Rattus norvegicus: one gene and its partners. The protein of the gene in region 1 interacts with the protein of each later gene in a pairwise test. Links are inferred from orthologs where the notes say so. Each region holds a gene or a part of one and is shown in the gene's direction. Other genes may lie near its edges.

What was found.
Region 2: the proteins of Sorbs3 (region 1) and Cpne2 interact in binary tests that used the Homo sapiens proteins (3 or more experiments, as listed by UniProt). The two-hybrid records come from large-scale screens. The link is inferred for Rattus norvegicus from reciprocal best matches to the Homo sapiens genes SORBS3 and CPNE2.
Region 3: the proteins of Sorbs3 (region 1) and Sh2d4a interact in binary tests that used the Homo sapiens proteins (3 or more experiments, as listed by UniProt). The two-hybrid records come from large-scale screens. The link is inferred for Rattus norvegicus from reciprocal best matches to the Homo sapiens genes SORBS3 and SH2D4A.
Region 4: the proteins of Sorbs3 (region 1) and Pak2 interact in binary tests that used the Homo sapiens proteins (3 or more experiments, as listed by UniProt). The two-hybrid records come from large-scale screens. The link is inferred for Rattus norvegicus from reciprocal best matches to the Homo sapiens genes SORBS3 and PAK2.
Region 5: the proteins of Sorbs3 (region 1) and Kiaa0408L interact in binary tests that used the Homo sapiens proteins (3 or more experiments, as listed by UniProt). The two-hybrid records come from large-scale screens. The link is inferred for Rattus norvegicus from reciprocal best matches to the Homo sapiens genes SORBS3 and KIAA0408.
Region 6: the proteins of Sorbs3 (region 1) and Tbc1d22b interact in binary tests that used the Homo sapiens proteins (3 or more experiments, as listed by UniProt). The link is inferred for Rattus norvegicus from reciprocal best matches to the Homo sapiens genes SORBS3 and TBC1D22B.
Region 7: the proteins of Sorbs3 (region 1) and Socs7 interact in binary tests that used the Homo sapiens proteins (3 or more experiments, as listed by UniProt). The link is inferred for Rattus norvegicus from reciprocal best matches to the Homo sapiens genes SORBS3 and SOCS7.

The regions. Positions count from the first base shown.
Region 1 is NC_086033.1:51,684,473-51,687,972, reverse strand, and holds part of Sorbs3 (vinexin), read left to right. Parts: intron 1-2,492; coding exon 2,493-2,637; intron 2,638-2,868; coding exon 2,869-2,986; intron 2,987-3,500. UniProt on the Homo sapiens protein: Vinexin alpha isoform promotes up-regulation of actin stress fiber formation. Vinexin beta isoform plays a role in cell spreading and enhances the activation of JNK/SAPK in response to EGF stimulation by using its third SH3 domain.
Region 2 is NC_086037.1:10,474,984-10,479,177, reverse strand, and holds the start of Cpne2 (copine-2), read left to right. Parts: upstream 1-1,394; 5' UTR 1,395-1,571; intron 1,572-4,194.
Region 3 is NC_086034.1:26,173,175-26,177,174, reverse strand, and holds the start of Sh2d4a (SH2 domain-containing protein 4A), read left to right. Parts: upstream 1-1,200; 5' UTR 1,201-1,242; intron 1,243-1,429; exon of another isoform or gene 1,430-1,520; intron 1,521-4,000. UniProt on the Homo sapiens protein: Inhibits estrogen-induced cell proliferation by competing with PLCG for binding to ESR1, blocking the effect of estrogen on PLCG and repressing estrogen-induced proliferation. May play a role in T-cell development and function.
Region 4 is NC_086029.1:82,247,435-82,250,934, forward strand, and holds part of Pak2 (serine/threonine-protein kinase PAK 2), read left to right. Parts: intron 1-1,093; coding exon 1,094-1,241; intron 1,242-2,141; coding exon 2,142-2,173; intron 2,174-3,164; coding exon 3,165-3,272; intron 3,273-3,500. UniProt on the Homo sapiens protein: Serine/threonine protein kinase that plays a role in a variety of different signaling pathways including cytoskeleton regulation, cell motility, cell cycle progression, apoptosis or proliferation.
Region 5 is NC_086019.1:30,456,111-30,460,410, reverse strand, and holds the start of Kiaa0408L (uncharacterized protein KIAA0408 homolog), read left to right. Parts: upstream 1-1,500; 5' UTR 1,501-1,697; intron 1,698-1,716; exon of another isoform or gene 1,717-2,174; intron 2,175-4,300.
Region 6 is NC_086038.1:7,672,826-7,675,067, forward strand, and holds part of Tbc1d22b (TBC1 domain family member 22B), read left to right. Parts: intron 1-1,905; coding exon 1,906-2,034; 3' UTR 2,035-2,242. UniProt on the Homo sapiens protein: May act as a GTPase-activating protein for Rab family protein(s).
Region 7 is NC_086028.1:82,858,612-82,862,111, forward strand, and holds part of Socs7 (suppressor of cytokine signaling 7), read left to right. Parts: intron 1-2,033; coding exon 2,034-2,138; intron 2,139-2,592; coding exon 2,593-2,694; intron 2,695-3,500. UniProt on the Homo sapiens protein: Substrate-recognition component of a cullin-5-RING E3 ubiquitin-protein ligase complex (ECS complex, also named CRL5 complex), which mediates the ubiquitination and subsequent proteasomal degradation of target proteins, such as DAB1 and IRS1.

The DNA.
Region 1 (3,500 bases):
AGAGAGAGACGTCCCCACCATCCAGACCTCAATCTAGGATGGGAAGGAGTCCACCAAACCTATATGAACTCCATTCTTCCAGCCCTTTGGAGAGGGCTGCTTGAGTGCAGGAGCTGCTGAATTCTGGGAACTCACCAGAGGTGTCCGGACACCTTCTGTTTTATGCTAGACAGATACCTATTCCCCAGGAGGCCTCTGTCTTCCTTAGGTTCTGCCTAATGTCTCCAGGCAGCCTGCTGGGAGAAAAACCAGGACCATCACTGGGCCCTATCCTACCCTTGTGTATTCCCCTTTTCATGTCACTCAATGGGAGGGGAGCAGATTGAGGTATCCCAGGGTCAATAGCTCCTGAAACCAAGTGGGGATGGGGGATTGAATCTTTCTCCCTCTGAGAGGACACTTCTGGATTTGACAGGAGGGTGGGACACAGTCACATTAGGGAAGGAAGGCCTGTCAGCTGATGGGTACAACTGCTGATGCTGAGGGTAACTTGGCCTCAAGCCAGCAGTGGAGCAGGGAGGGGTAGCTCTAGAGCCAGTGTGCCCGGGGCTTCCTTGGTCATCAGTCTGCCCGGCCTCACTTTCCCTTGGAGGAAGTCCAAGAGTCAGGAAACTGGGGTGTGTTCACATGGTTGTTTTTTTTGGTAAGAGCTCTAATTGGATCCAGCTGGTGGGCTGCACCTCAACCTCCCCTCCCCACAAAGTCAGGGATTGGCTGGGTCCCAAATAGGCTGCTCAGATGTCAGAAGGAATCCTCACAAAAGCAGACCAAAGAGGGTGCCTGCTGCCCCTAGCCTCCTTGGATTCCTTGTCAATGCCCGAGCAGGAACTGAGCCCAGAAGACAGGTACTGCCGGCTCTGCTGTACTGTCATACACAGTACGGTCCCACAGCTCCTGGGCTGCTCATATGACTGCACGCTGCACACACCCCTGCTGACATTCTTTTCACTTTACCTCCCATGCTCCTCACATGATTCACCACACACACACACACACACACACACACACACACACACACACACACACACACACACACACAGAGGCATATTGACAGCACTGAATATATTCTACCTCTGCCACACACAGGACACCTCCTGGGGTATCTGGTGTCCTTTCTTTGAACCTCCACAAACCCCACAGACACATACAAGCCTGATTTGGCCCAGTCCAAAAGGTGGTATAAGGGATTTTTGTTTGTTTTGTTTTTGTTTTTTGAAACAAGGTTTCTGGCTATCCTGGAACTCACTTTTTTTTTTTAAAAAATTGTTTATTCGTTTATATAATGAGTACACTATTGCTATCTTCAGACACACCAGAAGAGGGCATCAGATCCCATTACAGATGGTTGCGATCCACCATGTGGTTACTGGGAATTGAACTCAGGACCTTGGGAGGAACAGTCAGTGCTCCTAACCGCTGAGCCATTTCTCCAACCCCCAAGGTGGTGAAAGTTTATTCCACTAACACCCATTCAGCCAGGAAAATGAAGAGGTGCAGATCCTATATCATAGTTCTCTAGGCACTAAGTCCCCTTTGTGCCCCCGAACCATGAACTCTCTGTCCTCTAGCACCTACCTGTGTGTGTCCCCTTTTGCTCACCCATCTCCCCAGTGCCCTGAGCTCCCTTCTGCTGACCCTTGAGTGAAGCAGAACCTACTGGCTTGTCAGGCATGATGCCCTCAGTCAGGAAGGACCCTCCTTTCAAAGCCAAGCCTGTGGATACAGGAGTGTTCATCCGTTTAGGAGAGAAACTTCCAGAACTCAGCACCACCCCCAGGGCAGAAGCAAGTCCTTTTTGTTGTCATCTGCTGCTTTGCTTTCTAACCACCCAGCACTAGCTCTGAGCGTTCTGGAGCTGTGATCTGCACAGGAGGCCAGCGAGCAGCACACATTCCCTAGATCTCAGAAGTGGCTCCCTGCCTGGCAATGCTCTCCCATGTTCTTCTTGGCCCTAGTAGGGATGAGGGCAGTGCTGGCTGCTTCCCAGTGGTCAGCAGGTTCGTGGCCTTGATGTTGACTGCCCTTGTGCCTGTGAGCATGCAGATGCTACCAAGGCATGAGCATGTCAGAAGAATGGAAACAAAGTCCTGTGCTCAGGTCCTCTCTGCTAGCTGCCCTAGTTCTCCTGTGCCTTCCTTCTAGGGGAGCTGGCTATCCTGGCACAGAGAGTCCCAGAGGGGTGGTCAGAGGGCTGCAGGCCTGCTCCTGGCCAGCTTCCCTATCTTCCTTCTTGCCTGGCTTCCCCTCCCCCACTTCCACCCAGCGCTCCTGCCCCAGGCCTAACAAGCAGTCCATTGTGCCTCTGGGAGTCGGCACTGGCAGCCTGCAGGCGGGTGCCCAGAGTTGCCTGTTTCCTGGGTCCTTGAGCTCCCACCCAGCTGGCCATAATTCCCTCCCACAACCTACCTTCCTCCCCCACCAGTGGGTTGAGTCAAGAGGTCCCAGGCAGTCCAGCCCAGCCAGGCTTTCCCTTCCTTCCTCCTTCTCTGCAGAGTACACACGAAGGAGCAGCTGGCACATCCTGTGTCCTCCAACCTTGACCCAAGCATGCAAGGCCTCCCTGCTGGGCTCAGCCTGGATGATTTCATCCCTGGCCACCTCCGGGCCCATATAGGTGCATCTTCCCGGGGGACAAGGGTGAGTGAACAGCAAGGAAAAAGGAACGCTGATGGGCCAGCAGTTGATGGGGACACTAGTGGGCCAGGTGGGGGGAGCAGTGGACCGGCAGTCTGAAGGAAGCTCCAGAGAACCTCCATGGCTTCCCCAGGAGGCCAGACTCAGGCTATGCTCAGGCTGCCATTCCTTCCCAGTGGAACTCCAGTGGAACCTCTGGGCCCTGAGCTTGCTGCTCCTGGCCCCTTCCCACAGGTGCCTGTGATCCGGAATGGTGGCTCCAACACCCTTAATTTCCAGTTTCATGACCCTGCACCCAGGACTGTGTGCAACGGCTGTCCCCCGCCCAGGAGAGATGGTTCCCAGCATCCAGGTGGGTCTGCTTGGGAAGATCTGCTCTAAGAACCTTACGCAGGGATGGGGCAAGTTTCCTGTGCCATATGGAAGGGAATGGATCTTTGAAGGCCACGAGAAGGTCCCCAGGGAACTGTGGAATCAGCTTAGGGTACTCTGTGATTATGCAAATCTTGAGAAAGGAACCTTGAAGAGAACAGGCTGACACAGCATTTCCCTCCCTCTTGACAAGGGAAGGACATAGTCTTAGGGGTCAAGGGAACTGTAACAGGGCCCGAGATTCAAGTGGGAGGGTGAGAAGTCTCAGCTTAAGAATGGACAGGGACTGCCTGCCCCCCTCTATGCCCCCTCCCCTCCACATACACACCCAGGATTATCATCCAATCCAAAAGGACAGCTTAAGAGTCTGCCGTCTGGGCCCTAAGGTCTCTGAGCTCCTGGGGACTCCTCAGTACAATCCAGTACTTTGAGAAATGGTGTCCTTTACTGAGCATTCATTCCCCTGAGTCAGACATTGTGCAGAGGACCTCAGT
Region 2 (4,194 bases), on another chromosome or scaffold:
GCACGAATATACGTCTTCATTTCTCTTGGGTAGGTACCAGGAATGGAATTGCTGTGACACCTGATCTTAGTACTCCGCCCTCCCCATCAGGACCTAGCAACATCTTTCCCTGGACCCTCTAAACGCTTTAATTCTGGGTTCTTAGAAGAGTGCTGGTCAGGTCCCATGGCTGAGTTGGGTCTCTATGCTAATTGCCTTTCATCCTGAACTTATTCATCTACTTGTCTACCTGGCATTGCTCCCCAGTCTGGAAAAGACTATGCGGTCCCCATTTTCTACCTCCGCTCTAAGAGGAGCCACAGGTTGCTTTGTCCCAGAGCTGAGCAGAGGGCATGGAGGACTTTCTGTGCAAGAAGACCGAGGAGAATCTAGAGAAAGGCAGAAAGCTCCGGGGACAGGCAGGCAGAGAGAACAAAGCTCTGTGCCCTGGGGCTGCTTAGTGGGGGCCCTTCTAAGGCTGCAAAGTGCCAGTGACTCAGACGTGGGGGGGAGCGCGTAGCTACTGCAAGAGTCTCACGCATTAACCCTTATCTGTCTGGAATAGAAAACCTACAACCCAAGCGCAAGGCTTTACTGCTCAGTCCCACAATTCCCCCAGTCCGTGCACACCAGGGCCCAGGGCTTTAACTATGCTTATAAGATCTCTGGACAGCCAACCTCCAACCCACTCCCAACAGTATCTCGTTAAAAGAGCTTCGGCCCTGATGTCCAGTGGTTAACTCGATCGGAGGGTACAAAATACCACTGAGTGACCACCAGCTGCCCAGCGACAAAATAAGCCCTTAAGAACTGGTGCCTCTTCTGGGTCAAAAACGGGATGCACAGAGTGGGAGGCCTCAGCTCCGCAGAACTGCTCTCCCGTTGATCCCAAACCCCACTCTGAACGGCTTTAGCTCATCGTCTTTGTCACGGGAATATGTGTCATCTTCCCTGTCTCAGGCGACAAGAAAACGCTATTGAAAGAAATAAAAAATATATTTTTAATAGTACAATAAGAGGAAGAAAACACTGCGGTTCTTGTGCCGCTCCAACAGCCGGAAGCAAGTACTGGGCGTCTCCCCGAGGGCTCAGTGCCCAGCCCTGCCCGCTTTGGGGCGAAAGCCACGGGCGGCGCCTCGGGGTCTAGCGGGCCAGGAGATCGCACCCCTGGGTCCTCGCGTCTACAGCCGGAGCACAACGCACAGAGCTCGGCGGTGCCTGACGCCCAGAGCGGCGGGCCAGGTGCTGGGTGCGAATCCACGGCGTCGCACAGAGTGGCAGCCTGCTGTGTCCAGGTCCTCGCGGGCCACCAGCCGGGAGTCGGACAGGCTCCCGCGCAGCCCGGAGAGCCGCCCCTCCAGGAAGCGCCCGCCTCGCTCCCGCTTCCCGCCCACATCCTCCCTCGACTGGAGGGAGGAGCCGGTGCTGCAGCCGCGGCCCGAGGAGGGCCAGCCCCAGCCCGGGCGAGCGCAGGAGTGGGTACGGCCGCGCGGGTAGCGCCCTGTCCCTGTCCCGCGTCGCCGCCCGACCGACAGCACAGCGCGCGGGGATGCCCCGGCGACCCGGAGCACGCTGAGGCTTGGGGAAGCGCGGTGAGTGGGGTCCGCGGCGACGGTGGGCCGGGCACTGAGCGCGCCCAAGTTCGGCCTGGGGCTTCGAGGGGAGCGGGTTCTGAGGGAGGGACTCCAACGTCCCTGGCCACCGCCCCCCGCAGCACGCCCCGGAGGACTCAGCTCCTACCCGGCCACGCGGGGGCGCCCGTCTGCGGGGGGCTGCTGGATGGGCAGCTTCGGGGACACCGGCTAGCTATTTGGGAGACCCTCTTCCACCGTTAGGTGTCTGGAGGGCCACCGAGAGCTGGCGACCGCAGCCGTCAGCACAATTGCTTGGAGGAGAGTGCGCCCTTTGACCCCACCCTGACCCGGACCTGGCCCTGCTTGGTATCAGCCCTAGGGTCGACTCCCTGCTCCAATGTGGGAGAAGAGATGGGGAAGAGTGCTGAGCGGCTTTCCAGAAGTCGGAGTGTGTTTGCAAACTAGTTTTTGCGCAAAAGCTGTCTGGCACCTGTGTGTTTCAAGGGGTGGAGGAGGAAGTGAGAAGCCCTTTTTTCCCATCCCTGTAAGCGATGCTCCTGGGAAAAATAAAGGAGACTAATGCTCCTCTTTCCTTCTCTTCCCCTCTCCTCCCGAATCCTGTCTTTGGTACAGATGGCTAGTCTTTGGATAAGAGGCTACCTCAAAAGGAGGCTGAGAGTGCCCAAGGTCACAGGTGCAATAGCAACCGGGAGCTCGGGAGCTCGGTGGCCATTCAAAGGGTCTGCCTTGTACTCTGATTCTTCCTGCCCTATAAGTATTCTGGGGGAAGGGGAAAGGGAAAGGCCTTTGAGGATTAGCCCAGATGCCCTTTGCTTTGTCTGACCATAGACCTCCATCATGTAGGGGTGTGGAGCTGTCACTCCGAGATGGGAAGGGGTATTATACTGCCCCTCTCAGAGACGGGAGAGAGTATTAATATTGTCCCTGGAGGCATCTACAGCTTCTGTGGTTGGAGGCCTTGTTACCAGGCAGACTTTCTGCTGAGAAGTTCCTACTCCAGGGTTAGAGTCCTGCCTTCCTACCTGTGGACAGTCCCTCCTTCTGCCTTTTAAACAGCCAAAGTCTTCCAGAATATAGCTCCCTCACCACGGGCTTAGAAGGGACTTGGTGTGTCGAAGTGGGAGGAGCTGGTCATCCAGCCATCTTGGTAGGGAAGCTGCTGTCCAGGAGAGACAATATAAGGTCCCTAATGGATGCTCGAGGATTGAGTCAGGGTCAGAGGTGCCACCTAGCTCCTAGTCCTATGTTCTTTGGCCTCTGGTCCCCTGGCTGCAACTTCTCTTTTGAGGTCAAAAACACTGCTTTTTGAATTGGATGAGAGCCCTTCTCCCGCAGGAAGGGAGGCATTTTGGTTGGGTTGTCATTTCTAATGGCCTATGGACAGCTCCAAGATGGGAGTCATGAGAGACCTGGCCTTGAACACCTTTCTGTGACCAGAAGTAGTATGGTGGCCTCAACTTTGCATTTCCGGTTTCTATAAAGTGGGATGGTCTCCAGGGCCTCCTGGAAACTGACCAGACACAAACACTAAAGCACGAGTTTATTGCACCCTGGCAGGGGGCCCAGTGAACTCCTGGGCTGTCCTTAGGTGGTGATGAGCCCTTGGAGTGGGAGAGTTCATCAGATGCATTTCTACACATGCACACACATGCGCGCGCACACACACACACACACACACACACACACACACACACACACACACACACCCTTTGGCTCTGGGTGTTTTTCCATTTGTGAAATGAAGGCAGACTGCGATGGCAGCCCATTTGCAGAGCCGTGGGGAGGCCAGGACACAGGACAGGTATTCTTACAAGTGGGGAACTCTTCATGAGGGTCTGTGATTGCCTTTCAAGCCCTCCCCCAATGCTGTGAGCATTAAAAATCCGAGGGGACCACGTGAAGAAGAGGACCAAAATGGAGCCTCGGTTTATCTGTATCATAGTGAGGTGTGCACTCTCTGTCCCCTTCTCGTTCTAGGTAATTGTGTGTTTCCTTAAAGGTAGTTGTGAGGATCCGTTTAGATGACAAAGGGCTTGTGTGTCAGCACTGTGACTGGTGCGGGCGGCATTTGGGAACAGCTGTCATCCCATTGTTCCTGGGAATATTAGTACACTTGATTCGCATGACTGCATTCAACATTCCTTCTGGGATATTTTTCTTTTTTCCTCTTCTTCTTCTTTTTTTTTTTTTTTTTTTTTTGGCCCTTGAGAGATGAGTCCTGGAATCTGGATATTGGTACTTCTGAGCTGTTCTAGGGCCAGAGGGGCCTGGGTAGGAAGGTTTGTTCTACGGTGCATCCTGTGTAGGTGACCATCGCCCCGACCTGGAGCTGACTTCACTGGGCTCTGAGGCTTGCATAGAAGACAAAAAGCACTCTCTAGTAATTGTGTTCCTGTCAGGGGGCAGGGTTTCTTTACCTGCTGGGACTTCCTAAATGTTCCTTCCATCCCGTCTTCTGCCCTTGCCGAGACCTGCCAGACAGGCCGGGGCTGCAGAAGTGGGTGCAGAACACCTCTAGAAGCACTGGGCTTCAGAGAGGTCCGTGTGGTCTCTGTAAAAGCATGAGGTACCATCTAGGTAGGGCAAGCTGGTGATGGTGACCATCCAATCATGGTCCACC
Region 3 (4,000 bases), on another chromosome or scaffold:
TGAAGGGGCCTTATCTGGCATCAATAGGAGCCTGTGAAGGCTCAATGCCCCAGTGTAGAGGAATGCTAGGGTGGTGAGGCTGGAGTGGGTAGGTGGGTAGGTGGGTAGGGGAACACCTTCATAGAAGCAGGGTAAGGGGGCATGCAATAGGGGATTTGCAGAGGGGAAACCAGGAAGGAAGATAGTATTTTAAATGTAAATAAATAAAATGTCTAATTTTAAAAAGTTTTCTGTGGTTGCGAAAGCCTACGGTAAACAACGTTTGGGTTCAGCACGTCAGGCTCCTAAATCGATTGGATAGGGTGTATAAAGTCACACCATGTTTCTTGTTTATAACAGTGCTCTCCAATCTCCCCAGTCTGAACTCCTGTGTCATCCCTCCCCACCCCCACTCATACACACCCCCAGCCCTGTTTTCTTCCACACATGCCCAAGGTTCCTCGCCTGTGGAAAAGGCTGTTCCACTTTTCCACTCTGTTCAGCTTTCTCCCCTCCCAGATAAGCTTAGGCTTCAGCAGTGCCCTGTGCCACCCTGGTCCTGATCACAGGGAACTTCTACCTTTTTTCCCCTCAGGTTTCTCTCCCTGGCTGCCCCTTTCCCTAGAGCCTGCAACATTCCAGTCTTTCTCTTCCTTGAACATGCCTTAAGCCACACCTGGAGTAACAAATGCTTCAGAGTTTGATAATTTACTTAATGTCAACAAAAGAGAAGGAAAAAGTAAGCTGTAGAAACGCAGTCACAGAACTGCAGCCAACTTGGCTGCAGGACCCAGGTTCCCAGATGGACCCTGCCTGCCTGCCATTGCAGGCTCCACCTAACAAGTCAAGTGTGGACAATTGTAATTAGTAAGTCCCACAGACCCCCCCTGAGGTGTCAGGGCAAACTACCCCAGACTGTAGACAGCACTCTAGATTAGCCAAGGACTAGTGGCCTTGCTGTCACTGGACCAAGGCAGCCAAGCCTTGCCTACTGGCCCTGGAGCGCCTCCAGCACCCGGGAGGGGCCTTGAGGGAGCGCCCAGTCAGTCACCCCAGCATGTGGGCGCGGCGGGGCGGGCCAGGGCTGTGATCTGGACGCCGAGTGTCCTTCTGGGCCCGAGTGTTTGTCCAGACAGCCCGCGCGGCTGGGTCTCTGCGCGGCTGGGTCTCTCTGCTTGTCCTCCCTTCTCTTCCTGGAGTTGCTGTAGGCAATCTGGAGGTGGCGGCGGGTGCTTGGACCACCTTGCCCCGGGTCCTGAGCAGGTAGGTGACCGGGTCGGGTAAAACGCTGGAGCATAGAGCCAGGCAGAAGGGTGAGCGAGGAGTGGGAACCAGGAGATGCGTCTCTAGAGCGAAGGGTGAAGCACAGAGGACAGGGAGAGGAAGAGACCCTGGTTCCCGCGGCCAGGCTGCTCACCTGTCCCTCCGGTCCCTCCTCCACGGCGCTCAGGGCGAGCTCAGGTGCCCAGAGGAACAGACCACAACGGCTGCGGGTGTCCGATGTCTCGTGTAGGGTGTCCAGTGTCTGCAGCCGGGTCCAGGTGAGTGGCGGCCCCAAGAACAGAGGGCTTGTGATCATTATACTAAGAGTCTCCAGAGGGAGGAGAATCGGAGGCGACTTGGAGTCTTTCAGGAAAGTTGTCCCGTCCGGGCTGTGCATGCACACGCGGCGAGTGCTAACTGGCCTGGGGCAGGTGCACAGCGGGGGCCACCTGCGAGGGTCTGAGCCACGAAGAGGGTGCTGGGTGTCGGCTACAGTACCCACAAATCAGCGGAGGTCCAATCACTGGGCAGTGCCATGTGGTCTCCTGGCCCGGAGACCTTCCAGACAAGAGTCCTGAAACCGGTTTCAGCACAAGCAGAACTCCATTAGTAAGTTCCCCGCGCTCCCGCGGGCGCCCTCACGTGGTACAGAGAGCAGCGGGCTCGTCGTCTCTCTGTGGTTCTGGGTCAAGGCTCAATCTAGAATCAGCCTAGCCAGAATTTTCCTCAACAAAAGTGAGCCATTACCAACCGTTCCTGCCTTAAGGGGTTCATGGGCCCTAGGTGGAGGCACTCAGTGTTTATAGGTTTTCTCAATGTCTCTCTTTGCTATGGTCCCAGAGAAGCAGGGATGACAGCCTCTTGCTTGTGTAAAGAAACAATGTATTTATAATTTTTCTTATTTAATAATAAGTGGAAGAAATACTTAGGCGAAGATTTAGCACAAATAGGCTTTTCTAGGAATATCTATCTATGAAATACTTCAATCTTGAGAGTATTTACAAAACTTCCAGCTCCTCTCACCACTTGCAATTCATTTTGTTTCCAAAATCATCATGTAAATTAATAAGAAAAATATTGAGCAATTCAAAGCCTGACAACAGAGAACGCAAACTAAGTTCTTACCTTTAGGGATATATGTACTGTAAATACAGAAATATTTTAATGAAGGTAGTTGTACCCAGAGTTTAATTATTATCATTATTGTTATTATTTATTAGGCTCTGTATTAATTAAAAACAATTGTGAGGAAAAGTGGAAAGTGTGAAAGTCAGACAAGATCTACAGGTATCCTGAGAACTTAACTAAATTTTGGACTCTTCAGAAATTTTTAGAGTGAGTGACAGGTATGGGCTTGTTCCCTGCTAGTTGTCTTTTTCAAGAAAAATGCCACAGGAGAGGAAAAACAAGTTAACTGGGCTGTACTCTGTGTTGGACCACGAGTGACTGCACTCAGTATGAGACCCACACATCACCAAACAGTGATTGTCCGGTAACGTGAAAGTAGGAAAACCCCTGGCAGGTTCACTTCCTCCTTTTCATTTCCTGTACTTGTCTCAATAGCTTCAAGGCAGATTTTATCTCAGGATCCAAGAGCTACAATGATCCTCAGGTTAGTTTTATGGATTAAGAAACAGGGTCTAAAGATGTGAAGTGACCTTCCAAAGTCATGGGTCACTGGAGGCAGAACCGGGAATCTAAGCTGGTGAACCTGTCTGTAGCTGTGCTGTGGTCTGCTCTAGGAAAGCCTTGGAGAGCTGGTTAACTGACATCACTCAGAGCCAATCAGCAGTCCAGTTCGGTGCCCATAGTCAACAGCCACAGGCACTTGTTAGCTGGGTTTCTTTTGTATTCCCTGAGGCCACCAGGAACCACGGTATTTTCTTCAAAAGGGATTAAACTGGCCCTGGTGGTTAGGGTCTATATAATCCCAATTATTTGAGAAATAAAGACAGCCAGTGTGGAAAGTCAAAAGCCTGTTTAGGCTAGGTTATATTAAAAACTGGCCTGGACAATTTAGACTCCATCTCAAAACATAAAGTAAAGGGGGCTGGGGGTGCAGCTCAGCAGCGGAGAATTTGCTTGGCATGTGCAAGGGTCAGGTTTAATCCTCAGACCACAAAACAAAACATGCCAACCAACCTTGATGCTTGAAGTCTATGTTACACAAGCTACCCGAAGCAAAGCAGAACAAAGAAGAGAGTTGCGCACCTCTTTACTGGAGTACCAGGGAAGGGAATGTTGGTGGAACAAGGCAAGTGGAGAGTAAGAGGAAGACAAAGTCACCACTGGACCAATGCGGGTAGCAACTCTGTGCTCCTTCCTGGATGGTGTATTTTCTTCTGTGGCCTCTCTAAGCTTATCTACACTTGATTACCGTAGGCTTCCGCACTAGCTGAGGTATCTCCAGTTTTAAAGTTCTCTTCCCAAGGACATTTTCTGATCTTTGTCCGGAAAATTTCAAAGTGGCACCAATCACTTCCTGATTCTGGACTCAGGAGTAAACTTGTAGCAGCCAGTCTGTGCAGTGGATACAGTAACTGCTGTGCTTCCCCCTCACTGTCTTCCTCAGTTCCTCTTGGCACTACAGTGGAAGGAGTGAGGGACTTAACTCTTGCTGAGTGCTTATGGTAGTGCAGGAAACAGTTAAGTGTCCGTTCTGTTATCAGAGAGCGCCTGGAGCCAAATCATTCCTGGAGGAATGTGCCCTTGGCTCTTTGAGGGAGTTAATTTTCAGTTCTCTCTGATCCTTCAAGAA
Region 4 (3,500 bases), on another chromosome or scaffold:
GTGTGGGCTTTAAGACCCTCATTGTAGCTGCTTGGAAGTCAGTGTGTTCCGCTAGCAGTCCTCAGATGAAGACATAGAACTCTCAGCTCCCCCTGCTCCATACCTGTCTGGACACTGCCATGTTCCCACCTTGATGATAATGGACTGAACCTCTGAACCTGTAAGCCAGCCCCAATTAAATGTTGTCCTTATAAGAGCTGCATTGGTCATGGTGTCTGTTCACAGCAGTAAAACCATGACTAAGACACAGAGAAATGAACTTTTAGGGATAGGATGATGGCTCAGTTGGCAAAATGCTTATCTTGCAAGTATGAAAAGATCTGAATTCAGATCTTTCCTTAAAACTCATAAAAAGCCAAATGCTGGGGCTGGGGATTTAGCTCAGTGGTAGAGCGCTTACCTAGGAAGCGCAAGGCCCTGGGTTCGGTCCCCAGCTCCGAAAAAAAGAACCAAAAAAAAAAAAAAAAAAAAAAAAGCCAAATGCTGTTGCGTGATTCCACGCTCCCAACCTATTTGGTAGCATTTTAGGCCAGTAGAAGATCCTATCTCAAACAAAATTTGGAAGGTACTGGAGGACCACACTAGAGCCTGTCAGTTGACCACATAGTCCTTTTAAAAAAACCTAGACTTTTTGCCAGACATGGTGGCATACACTTTTAATCCCAGCATTTGAGGTAGGTTGATCTCTGAATTTGAGGCCAGCATGGTCTACAGAGTAAGTGAATCCTAGGACGGCTGAGGTTACACAGAGAAACCCTGTCTCAAAAAACAGAATAAAACCACTGTACATTTTAATCCCAATACTAAGGCAACTGTGGGCAACTAAGGCAACTGGAATTTAAAATATTTTGAGTTCCAGGCCAGGCTGGGCTATATAGTTAAAACTCTGTGTCAAAAATAAGTGAGTAGGGCTGTAGAGGGCTCAGGTTCGGAGCACTGGCTGTTCTTGCAGGAGACCTGGTTCAGCTCCCAGCACCCACACAGCAGCTCAGAGCCTTCCGTAACACGACTGCCTGGGTGTTGTCGTTGGCCTGTGAAATGTTTTTCATTAGAGCATTAAACCGTAACTGATTTGTGGATTTCTTTTGGTTAGGGCATGCCAGAGCAGTGGGCACGGCTGTTGCAGACCTCCAACATTACCAAACTGGAGCAGAAGAAGAACCCGCAGGCTGTGCTGGATGTCTTGAAGTTCTACGACTCCAACACTGTGAAGCAGAAGTACCTGAGCTTCACTCCTCCTGGTAAGACCCAGACCGTGGTAAGAGGCTGGACCAGGTGGGAGAGCCGAAGCCCTCCCGGGTGAAAGATGGAGTACAGCCGCTGTCGCTCCCTCTCTCCCGCACAAATCTCCCTTTTCGAGGGTGATGAGGTAGGCCCAGAGCATGTCTGCAGATCAGTTAACCTCATCGTTTTGCCAGAAATAGAGTTGGGGATGTTTGGGCTCTTTGCTTATTTAATCTTTTTCTCTTTGATGCTCTTTTTTTTTTTTTTTTAAATTATTTATTATATATAAGTATCCTGTCTTCAGACACACCAGAAGAGGGCATCGGATCCCATTACAGATGGTTGTGAGCCACCATGTGGGTGCTGGGAATTGAACTCAGGACCTCTGGAAGAGCAGTCAGTGCTCTTAGCCGCTGAGCCGTCTCTCAGCCCCGTTTGATGCTTTTAGATGACTGCCAGCAACGGAGGGCGGAGGCAAAGCTTCTCAATACACAGACAGGTTCATGCCGGAGGTGGTGCTGTGAGTGCGGTAGAGTGGAAGTGACTACTGTGCATAAATGGCAGCTTTGATGTGAAAATGCCTTTCTGTTCATCTGGTGTTTTGTAAAACACCCTCAGTCCCATCACTTAGGAGGCTGAGCTAGGCAGATTTCTGAGTTCAAAACCATGCTGGTCTACATTTCGAGCTCCACACCAGCCAAGGATACGCTTAACCCTATACATGCAATAAATAAAATCTAAAATAGAGATGGGGTGGGGAGGAGAAACAACTATCAGAGACTGTACAGCAAATACCAGGCCAGCCACGACTGCATAGCAAAGCCCTGTCTGCTTGCTTTTTTTTTTTTTTTTTTTTTTTTTGTCATTTCCCAGTTCTCTTTCTCAAATTGTTAATATCTTTTCTGTTTCACATTCAGAGAAAGATGGCTTTCCTTCTGGAACACCAGCAGTAAGTTAATAATTTATTATAGTTTCTAATTTGGGTTGCCTAGAACAAGTCTATTTTTACTTTGCTTGGTAAATATATAAGGACAGGGGACTGAAAAGAATATGAATAAATGTAAACAGTTAGATGTGGTAGGCATGTCTCCAACCCCAGCTCTCAAGAGGCCACAGTCTTGAAATCACTGTGAATTTGCACGACTGAGTGACTAGCAAAACTGTATCTCCAAAAAAAAAAAAACAAACCAAGAGTAAAATAAAATTAACTATCAGATAAATACCTTTTTAGTTACTTTTTCTTTCTTTTTTTTTTCTTTTTTAAAGTTAGCCATTTGATTAATTGAAGAAACTATATTAAGTAAATAGGATTTTCCTGTCGGACAGTTTAAAGCAACTAATCTTCATAATGGCTTACAGAGCAAATTAACTACTTTTCCATTGTTGCCATTTTGAACCTGAATATGGTGAACTAGATGGCATAGTCTCTCCTCCCCAGACCTCCTACCAGTACCATTCTGGGTGTGGTAAACTGTGTCGCATTCTAAATAGGTAAAAACCTTTGTCAGCTCCCTTTCTTGCTTTGTTAACTGGTGAATCTGGATCTTTTAAAGCACTCAAATGTCTACAGATCCAGAGAGCCTTCAGTTTGGTCCTCAGAAGAGGAGTGCTTATTAACAGAGCACCACGTGTGCTTATGTGAAGGGCAGGAATAGTGCCTGCCGCACTTGGGAGCTCTGAAGGTAGCTCAGAAGGTGAGCAGTCACACCATACACAAGCCTCAGGACCAGTCCTTAGCTGAGTCCCCTCCCCACTAAAGTGATACTCAACCGTATATGTTTATTTCCTTTTTAACTGGTTATATTGGAACCAGTGAAGTTCTGTAGTTTTTATATACTAGCTATTGAAGAAATAAGCTTGTAAGACTTTTTATAGGGGAGTCGCATTTTAACCTTTGATGTTATTGGTTTATCCTCCGTTTGCTGCTATGGTGAACGCAGCTGAACACCAAGGGGTCAGAGACATCAGCTGTGGTGACAGAGGAAGACGATGACGATGAAGATGCTGCTCCTCCCGTCATTGCCCCTCGGCCAGATCATACAAAATCAGTGAGTGACAGACTGATGATCTGTAACTGTTTGACTTTTGAACACATTGATCTATGTTTGACCTGCAGTCAAAACATTAGAAAGGCTTCAAGCTTAAAATACTGTACTGTGAGAGACCGAGTTGTCTTTCAGAACCTGTGTTTTGGAGCTGATGAAACGACCCAGCAGGTAAAGGTGCTCGCCACCAAGCTGACTGCTCGAATCCAATTCCTGGGACCCATATGGTGC
Region 5 (4,300 bases), on another chromosome or scaffold:
GGAAGAAACAGAGGCACAGGCTCACACAGTTAAACGAGGGCAGAAGAATGGAACCCTAGGTCCCTGTGACAAAATTCCAGGATCCCCAAGCTGATTTTTACTCCCCCTGTCAGAGACCTTTCTGTGGGCGTTGCCCAGGGTGCTTTAGCTGTCTGAGCCATGGACATAAGTAAGATCAGGGTAATAGACACTGCAGCGACAGTTGCTAAGGGAGTGACTAACAGAAAGCTCCACTTGATGTCCGACCTCAGCACGGAGCTTTGCTTCAAGCCGCTTGCAGTGAACAACTAGTGTTGCTGCTGTCACTGTGATGGTTGTTGCTGCTGCTGTTGGAATTTTGAAGCCTGGCTCTCTAAACACAGAGAAGCATTTCTTTCAGTTATTCTGCATGTATAACGTCCTTCTGTGGAAGTAAAGAGGCTGAACTTGGTGGCTCACAATCACAATTCCAGGGCTAGGAAGGCTGAAGCAGGATTATACTAAGTCGAGACCAGTCTGGGATGCAATAGTGAGTTTCAGGCAAGCCTGTTCTGCAAAGTAAAACTTTATATGTTAATTAATTAATCAGTTCTTAAATAAATAAATAAATATACTTCTACCATGACCAGTTTACCATTATTAAGCAATTTAGCTACTTATGAGATGGTGCCTGGAGGTAGGCAAAAACAAACAAACAAACAAACAAACAAACAAAAAAAAACCAACCAAACCAAAAAAAAAAAAAAACAAAAAACCCCATCAAATTATGGCATGCATAAATAACATATTATATATAATACTGTACAGGTGGAAAAGCTCAACTTGAAGATAAGAGCTTATTACTTAAAACCCAGTGTAGCTTATTTGCTATATTAGCCCCAGAGACTTTATTGACTAAAGTAAACTATCAGATGCCTGATATGTGCTTCCCCCCAACACCCACACTCAACACACACAGACACACTCATACACACACTCACATACACACTCTCACACGCACACTCACACACATGCACTCACAAGCACGTGCTCTTTATATATGTCCCATTTCTAGTCTATATAAAGGCAGACATTCAATATGTTCCAACACACTTTTGGACTTATGCTTGCTGGTGTGTGTGTGTGTGTATTTCATATTTTTTCTCATTCTACATGATAGATAGACATTTCTATTTCATCCCTGGCAAGACTTAAAAAGGCACTGAAACTGCATCTCACTGAAGGGAAAGAGGGAAGGAGAGGGGATGGGGGAAGAGGATAGTTCTTGCTCCTAAAAGTGAGTCTACTTTCCAAATAAGAGAAACTTAAATATGGCCATTATCATCATGTGCAGCTAATAAGCAGCTCTCTCTTGGCAAGTTTGAAAATGCTGGGCTCCATTATAAAAGTTAAAAATGTCCTGGACCTGGAGTTGTTTACCCAGAGGGAGAACTGCTCTAAAGTTACAGAGCTCTGGTTGGAAGCAGCGGCTTTAAGGCCGCCTCCAAGTCCCTGACGTCACAGTAGCCCAGCTGCTGTTGTGACACTGAGCTCAGAAGTCCTCTGAGGGTGCAGTTTGCAAAGGGGTTTGTCAGGACTGCTGTGGGAAATGGATGGACTTTGTTTTGTAAAAGAATCACTGCTCTTTAAGACAACTAGCTCTCTGCCCCGCCTCTTCCATTGCTAGACTGGTCACGCAGAGCCTGACTTGCTGCAGGACGACCCCCAAGTGCGAGGAGGTATGTTTCTTCCTGGTAAACTTGCGCCTTAGATTAAGGATGCAGAAGTAAGTGTGGTTTCGGCATCTCCTGTGCTGACTATGCTTGTGTCTCGGTCTCAGAACAGTGGGCAAGGTATGTAACGGGTTCCTGACTTGGAGAAGAGGCTGTTCAGCTGCTGAGGGTGGATTTCTAAAGCCTGGACAACAGCAGCATCTTCTCTTTGAGACTGTTCTTGCTCATTCTCAGTAGTTCAGAAAAACTTTGCTCACTGTAAGTTTCTATTAGAATGCAATCTGTGGTGAATTTATTTTTAATATCTGCGATGTAAAATTTACAAGACGTAAGTTCACTGTTATTTCAAATTTGTAATTTTTAAAAAAATGTAGTTTTATTCCAGACTGCTATTCCACTCCAGGAGACGTATTTTTTTTCTCTATAATGTGAGCTCAGAAGCACTGGTGTCTTCAAGAAATCGCAGAAGCTCCTTTGCTCAAGGTTATTATTACTTTTAGATCCTTGCTTCCCCCAAGCTAAAAGATGTTTTTCATCAAAGCTTGTATCTTATCGGTTAAGGGAACTAAAACTGATGTGCCTGTAGCTTAAATTGAGACCATGAGTAAATAGTTGGAGAACCAAAAATAAAGATGGTGACCCAATGAGAAAACAAGGTTGACTTCTTCGGAGTTCTTTGTGCTGCATTTCTTTGACCTTGCCTGAAAATGAGGAGCAGGCAGAAAGAGAAGTGATTCTTTTTTAACTTTAATCTTCTAATAAAATCAAATGGGGAGTCTCTGGATAGATGCATTTGCTGACGCACAACACGGGAGACAGAGGATTCCTTAACTGCCTAAAATGGTCCCAGTGGTGGATAATAACCTGGAAAGTGAGGGAAGGAATTTTGAAGACAAGTGACACAGTATTTTTTTCAAGGCATGGGACTTCCTAATCCCACAAAATTCATTGGGAGCAACTTATCATCAGGCCAAATGATTTCTTCTAGGAATTGTGAGGTTGGCAGTATTTGCTGTTTCTGATATTCCTTCTGGAGTCTGCATCCTCAAGTGTATAAAGGACTTGGAATATTAAAAAAAAAAACACAATATGCTCAGAAAGTAATAAAAGAAAACAATGGGCACAAAACAAGTACTCCAAGCGGAATTCTCCTAAGACAGAAACAGCAGTAGGATCAGCCCTCCTGACATTCCTTAGTTGGCGTGGCTAAAATCCAGTTTCAGCAGGCAAGACGGAGTTTGAAATGATCGTAACCATGATGTAGAAAGCACTGAGCATGCCTTGGCTGACCATGGCCAGACTGGTAGGTCTAGGGGCTGAAGCTGCAGCAGTGATCCTGTGCTCAGCATTACGTTTATAGCTTTGTTTCCCCAACCCAAAAGTTGTTTAAAATCAAAGTTTGTATTTTGTCATGTATACTTCATGAGACCCGCTTTGTTGTTCTTAAATTTTGCTCCCTGGCAAAACTGACCCATCAGCTAAACCACTTGGCTTCCTATTACAGCACGTGCACAACCCACTCTCAACCCTTTACCATCCTGTTTTTTGGCTTTAGGGAGAAGTAAATTAAAGGGAACTATGGGATGCCAGCTTAGTGTTGCTAGGGGTGGGGCATTTGTGTAACAAACAAATGTGGCTACTTCTCTAAGTTTCCTCCAATAAACTTTTCTTCTGAATGAAGTTTGGGAATGCTGAAATGAAACAGCAAGGAGCTATGGGGAAGGGGATGTACAATGTAGAAATCCTTTCTTCTCTCCCACAGAGATGCCAGAATTCTGTGGGAGGGAAAGACTGACAGCTAAGAACAAGAAGAGCTTTTATACTGGCTTCAGTGGAGAGCTCTAAAACCAGGCTTTTGAATGGCTGATCCACTTGGCCTTAAAATTTCTCATCATAGAACATTCTGTCCTCACAAAATTGATCATTTAGCCTGACATCCTCAAGACCTAATTTAGAATGATAACAAAAAACAGTTTTAAATATTTACCCAGCTTTTTACTAGGGACAAATTGTTTTGCACTATACTTAACTTGGCATATGTCTTTAAGAAAACAGAAAAATACCAAGGCCAGACAAAGTCAAAGCGAATATTTAATAGTTAATCTTTGAGATTTGCTTTCAGTGAGGTAAAGTTTGAAATGATCAGTTTTACTTTAGGAAAAAAAAAGTTGTTTACACAGAGAAGAGAGAAGGAAAGAATGAAGGGAAACAGGGAAGATGAATGGCAAGGGGGAGAAATCAGAACTTAGCAAGAATTTGTGGTCCTGGAGAGATGGCTCCATGGTTAACAGCACTGGCTGCTGAGTTCAATTCCCAGCAGCCACATGGTGGCTCACAACCATCTCTAATGCGATTTGCATATAATGCCCTCTTCTGGCATGCAGGCACATATGCAGGTAGAACACTCATAAATAAAATGAACCTTAAAAAAATCCTTATGATACAGTAGCGTTTAGATTCTTGTTATGCATTCTTTCACTCGCTTCTCACTCTTCAGAATGTTTTACGCCCCCTCCCCACGTGTTTTGTTTATAGAGGGCAGTGCAACTGTGTTTGTTACTGTGGGCATTTACGTGTGTGTTGATGACAAGGCTGAGATCCTAGGAAAG
Region 6 (2,242 bases), on another chromosome or scaffold:
GACTCCGAACTCTGCTTTAGGAACCGTTTTGTAGACAATCTTCAGTGTCATTCTGGCAGTGTCTCTCCATCCCCCTGGCTAAGCACACCTGACTTGTGACTAGCGCCTCTGCCCCTTGGCCATGGTCATTCCGTTTCTGCATCTTTATCTGAAGACTGGTTCCCACTTTTTCAGACAGGGAACCGGCAGGGGTGGAGAGCTGCAGTTCCAGTCTCTGCCACCAGGTGGCAGAGCGGCTCTTCACAGCCAATACTCTTTCCATGAGAGAGGAGGGAAAAGGAAGGGGTGCTAGACTAGGGATAGAATTTATTCAGAAGTGCCTGGAAAGCATCTACTAAAGCTAGAGTTAGAGGTCAGAATGGCTCCCATCGCAGAAAATGTGTCCTACTTTCGAGCTGGGCCACTCTTGTTGGTTGGTTTTGTTTACAGGTTGCACAAAAGCATAGAATCATTATAGAAATACTAGAATTTTCCAGTAAGAAGGGGTGTGGAAGAGAGCAGCAGGTAAAGGTAAGCCTGACAGCCTGAGTTCAAACTCCGGTGTCCACATGGTAGAAGGAGAGAACCTAGTCCTGAAGGGTGCCCTCTGACCTCCACAGTCTACGCACAAGCACACATCCCACGGAGAACAAGCAAAGCCAAAGAAGGTTACAGCGTGGTGGGTGTCTCTTCATGAAGGCTTGGCTGGCCTGGAACTCCCTCTGTAGACCAGGCTGACCTTGAACTCACAGAGATCCACCTGGGGGCGGGAAGGGATTAAAGGCATGCACTACCACACTTGGCTTTACTCTTTTTTCTTTTTTTTTTCTTTCTTTTTTTTTTTTTTTCTTTTTCTTTTTTTCGGAGCTGGGGACCGAACCCAGGGCCTTGCGCTTCCTAGGCAAGCGCTCTACCACTGAGCTAAATCCCCAACCCCTGGCTTTACTCTTTAAAAATTTATTATGTTATGTGTATGAGTGTTTTGCCTGCATGTCTGTCTTGCACCACGTGTGTGCCTGGAACCTGTTGGAGGCCAGGAGAGGGCGTTGGATCCCAGGAACTGGAGTTGTATGGTTTTAAGCCTCTCCTTCTGTGGGTAGTGGACTGGAACCCAGATCTGGGAGAGTAGCCAGGGTCTCTGAGCACGTCTCCAGCCCACCTTGTCTCTTGAGGCAGGCTCTTCCACTGAGAAGGGGTTCACCATATCGGTGAGGCTGGTTGGCCAGCAAGGCCCAGGAATTATCCTGTCTCCAACTCCTGCAGTCCTGGGACTCCTGCTCCTCACCGGAGCACTTTACCAGCTGAGCTCTCCCGCTAGCCCCAGGACAGATCTTTTTGTGAATGTGAGTCCACTGTAGCTGTCTTCAGACACACGAGAAGAGGGCATCAGATCCCATTACAGATGGTTGTGAGCCACCATGTGGTTGCTGGGATTTGAACTCAGGACCTCTGGAAGAGCAGTCAGTGCCCCTAACCCCTGAGTCATCTCTCCAGCCCCCAGGATGAATCTTTTTACAATTAAAAAGATAAGAACAAATATCCCAACTCTGAAAAAGCAAAATGAATGAATGAATGAATGAATGAATGAAAGAAAGAAATATAAGGAAACAAAACAACAAAGTACAGCTGAGAAGCAGACATAGGGACAGAATGACAGTGCTGCAAGAGCGGGCCTGGGCGGCCGGAAGCAGGTGGTGACTTCCTCTCTGTACCGTCTTCATCCTCGGCTCCCAGCATGTGAAGAGGCCGAGTTAGTGTCTCAGAGATCTCTCTGTGAGGGTTTCAGACTTCCTGAACTAAACAAGGGGCCCAGGGCTACATGATTCTTAGGAGGCCGAAGGCTGGACTTCGGGGCTTGCATGGTCCTGGAGGAGGTACCTCCCCAGCCACAGACTGCAGGGATGAAAGGCCTTCCTTGCCTTGCAGGGCCTCCTCATGCTGCTGCAGAACCTGCCTACGATCCACTGGGGCAACGAGGAGATCGGGCTGCTGCTGGCTGAGGCCTACAGACTCAAGTACATGTTTGCGGACGCCCCCAACCACTACCGCCGATAGGTGCTGTCTCTCCTGGGGACCCAGACTGCCCCCATCTCTGATGGCAATTTCATCACTGTGGCCACCGTGCAAGCCGTGGACCCCGGCCAGGAACCACTCCTGCTGTACAAAGCTCGCCCCCCCACCGCAGCCACCACCACCACCACCACCCAGGTCTTAACTTCCCAGCATCCGTCACTTTGTCTCGGGATGTCTATCTGGGACCACT
Region 7 (3,500 bases), on another chromosome or scaffold:
TAGCATCTGTAAGTGATATCCTAGACTTTTCTAACAGACTCACCATAAGGCAGTGAGGCTGACAGCAGTCCCTGGCGTGCGTCCTAGAACTTCTGCAGGTGATTTGAGTTTTGTTTAAGGTTCAAGCAGGCTTCAATATGTGTAGCAGAGGCTGGCCTTGAACCCCTCCCGTCTCTAGCCCCTGATTGTTGGGTTTAAAGGAATATACTAACATGCTACCCAGCAGTTCTTTCTTTTTAACATTTAATGCATGCGCATGTGTATGTGAATTTCACAGCACACATGTGAGGAAGCCAGAAGACAGTTGTAGGAGTTGAACTTGGGTCTTCTGGTTTGGAGGCAAGCACTTTGTATGACGAGCCACTTCCCTGCCCCTCCCCCAACTGTTAACATGATCTGGCCTTGCATTTGTCCTGTCCATGTGGCAGAACGAGAACCACTTGCCTTGCTCCACACTGACATGAAAGTCTGCAAAGTATGGGTTTGTTTTTTGTTTTGTTTTGTTTTTTCGTTTTTGTTTTGTTTTTGTTTTTGTTTTTTTGTTTTTTTTCCCCAGAGCCGAGGACCGAACCCAGGGCCTTTCACTTGCTAGGCAAGCGCTCTACCACTGAGCTAAATCCCCAACCTCAAGTATGGTTTTATTTGATTAAAAACAAATTCCTTTTCAGAGTTAGAGACCCTAATCAAGATAAGTCAGCAGCAGAGAGAGCAATGAATAGCTTTCTCTCTGACAAGCTAACTAATGCTTTTCTCCTAAGGAAAACTCAACCCTTAATATGGTAAAGAAAAGATAGGACTTTTATTTTTCTTTTTTTTTTTTTTTTTTTTTTCGGAGCTGGGGACCGAACCCAGGGCCTTGCGCTTCCTAGGCAAGCGCTCTACCACTGAGCTAAATCCCCAACCCCAGGACTTTTATTTTTAAAAACTTTTTGTGTATGGTACTTTGTCTACATGTTTATCTGTGTACCGTTTTATGTATAGCCTGGTGTCTGTGGAGGTTACAAGAGGCCATCAGACACCCAGGAATTGGAATTGTGGGTGGGTGTGAGCTGTTGTGTGAGTGCTGAGAACCAAATCTGGGTTCTCTGGAAGAGCGGTCGCAGTGATTTTAACCCCTGAGCTAGCTCTCCAACCCTGCAATAAAACGATTAAAATTTTTAAATTATTATTTTGTGCCTCTTTATTTACATTTTGTTTATTGAATGTGTGTCACATCATGCATTTGGAGATCAGAGGACATTTATCAAGAGTCAGTTCTTGGGGCTGGGGATTTAGCTCAGTGGTAGAGCGCTTGCCTAGGAAGCGCAAGGCCCTGGGTTCGGTCCCCAGCTCCGAAAAAAAAGAACCAAAAAAACAAACAAAAAAAAAAAAAGAGTCAGTTCTTTTTTCCACCAAACAGGACTAGAATTTAGATTATCAGGTTTGTTAAAAATGTTCCTTTTTCTACTGAGCCATCCTACCATCCCTATTTTTCTTTATGTAGATGAGTTGTTTTGCCTACATGTATATACTGTGTGCGTGCCTGGTGCCTGCAGAGGCTGGAAGAGAGCGCTGAATGCCCTAGAACTGGAGTTCAGAGTGGTTATGAGCCTCTGTGGCTGTGGGCAAACAGATGTGGGTCTGCTCCAGTAGTAGCAAGGCTCCTGACCTCTGAGTCCCTCACTAACCCGGAACAGCCGAACAGTTTGTTCTTTGTTTGTTTTGAGACAAATCCTGTCTTTTTGTTGCCCTGGCTGTCCTGGAACTCTACCCATAGACCAAGCTGGCTGTTTTGAACTCACAGAGATCCGCCTGTCTCTGCCTCCCGAGTACTGGGATTGAAGGTGTGTGCACCGTAACCCAGCAACAACCAGATTCTAAGACACTTGGTGTCCAGGTGACTCCAGCCTGGAGAGCTTAGGGCCCTCTGCTCTGGCCTCCCTTGCTTAGGACTCTCTGCCCTCTGCCTCCCTGCTTGCTTTTGTTCCCCTTCCTTTTGGCCTCAGCTTTGGACACTATGCTTCTGTAACATGCTTGCTGTGTGAATCCCTCAGGTGAGACAGTGTCGCTTGTGGACGTGGACATATCTCAGCGGGGCCTGACCTCTCCACACCCTCCAACTCCCCCTCCTCCTCCAAGAAGAAGCCTCAGCCTCCTAGGTATAGTCTCTAACCCACCCTTTTGCCATCTTGCCCTGTAGGGAGGGTGAGCTCTAGGGACTTGCTCTTTGGTCAGGGGCCAGATAAGGTTATGGGTTTCTATTGATGACCCAATTAGTTCCCATTCCTCTCTCCAAACCTCTGTCGTTTCTGTAGGGACTTAGATGGGCGGGCATCTTTATTTGCATGAAGCAATATTGACTGTCCATGTGCTGAGTGGCTTCACATGCACCGAGCCCTCAGTCTTGCTCCTGAGCTGCTTTAGGAGTACCCTCACTCTCCTGCTTTCTAGGCAAAGCAAGGCTGATGAGGATGCCTTGCCCGTACTTAGAGATAGCATGACGTCCAGGCTACCTTGCCCCAGAGGGCAGCCTGAAGTCCTCTCCTCCTCCGCCTTCTCCCCACTGTTATGTGCTTATTTTGCTGAACCTCTTGCTTTTGTTCTCTCTTGTAGATGATATCAGTGGGACGCTGCCTACATCTGTCCTTGTGGCTCCGATGGGGTCTTCCTTGCAGTCTTTCCCCCTACCTCCGCCTCCTCCACCCCACGCCCCAGGTTAGCTTAGCTTAGAGCCAAGATTTGTAAGAGTGGAAGGACGGGAGAAGGCTACTTATGGAAATTACAACTTAGGAGAAAGCCTCAATCTATCCCCTTGGTTGGATTAGAACTTGAAAATGAGTCTGAGAACTTTTTTTTCCTAACCTGTTTCCTTTTGGAAGTAAATCTTACTTTTCTTAGAAGTGAAAACCTGGGATTTCTGGTTCCTGCTTCTGGGGCTGCTTTGCAGTTCCCTGAGGAAATACCACTTAAGAAATTGCTGTGATGTCAGTTCAGCGAAGAGGTTTACTCTGTTGCTGGTTATCAAAGTTGTGTAGTTTTTTCCTAAGCTTTTGGTATTTACTGCAGCCTTGTAAATAAGTACCAAGCATTTAGTAGCTCACACCTGCTTTGCCAGCCTCTAGTATCCAGGGAATATAGTGAATGAAATCAGCATTGTTTTCTACTTGCCTGGCAAATCATTACTCTCCCTGGAGGGGCAAGTAAGCAAGTCACTATTTCCAAGGCCGCTTTCCCGGCACTTCACTTCACTTCGAGGTGGGAGAAGTTGGGATCGCTCTAGGCCGGTGAAGCCCCTGAAGTAGTCACCTTAGTCAGGTTAGTGAGCAGCTCCTCTACTGCTTTCCTGGGGTTGAATGCCCCCCCATCCTTCACAGCTCACACAGCTCGCACAGCCTTTTGTTCCAGCCCATCCAGCTCCCTTCCACTGCTTTGGCTCCCACCCTCTCAGCTCAGCTTCTAATGCCTTGCCCCTCCTCAGTTAGCATCTTTTTTGGGGAAGGGAAGTCTGTCTATGGGTTGGA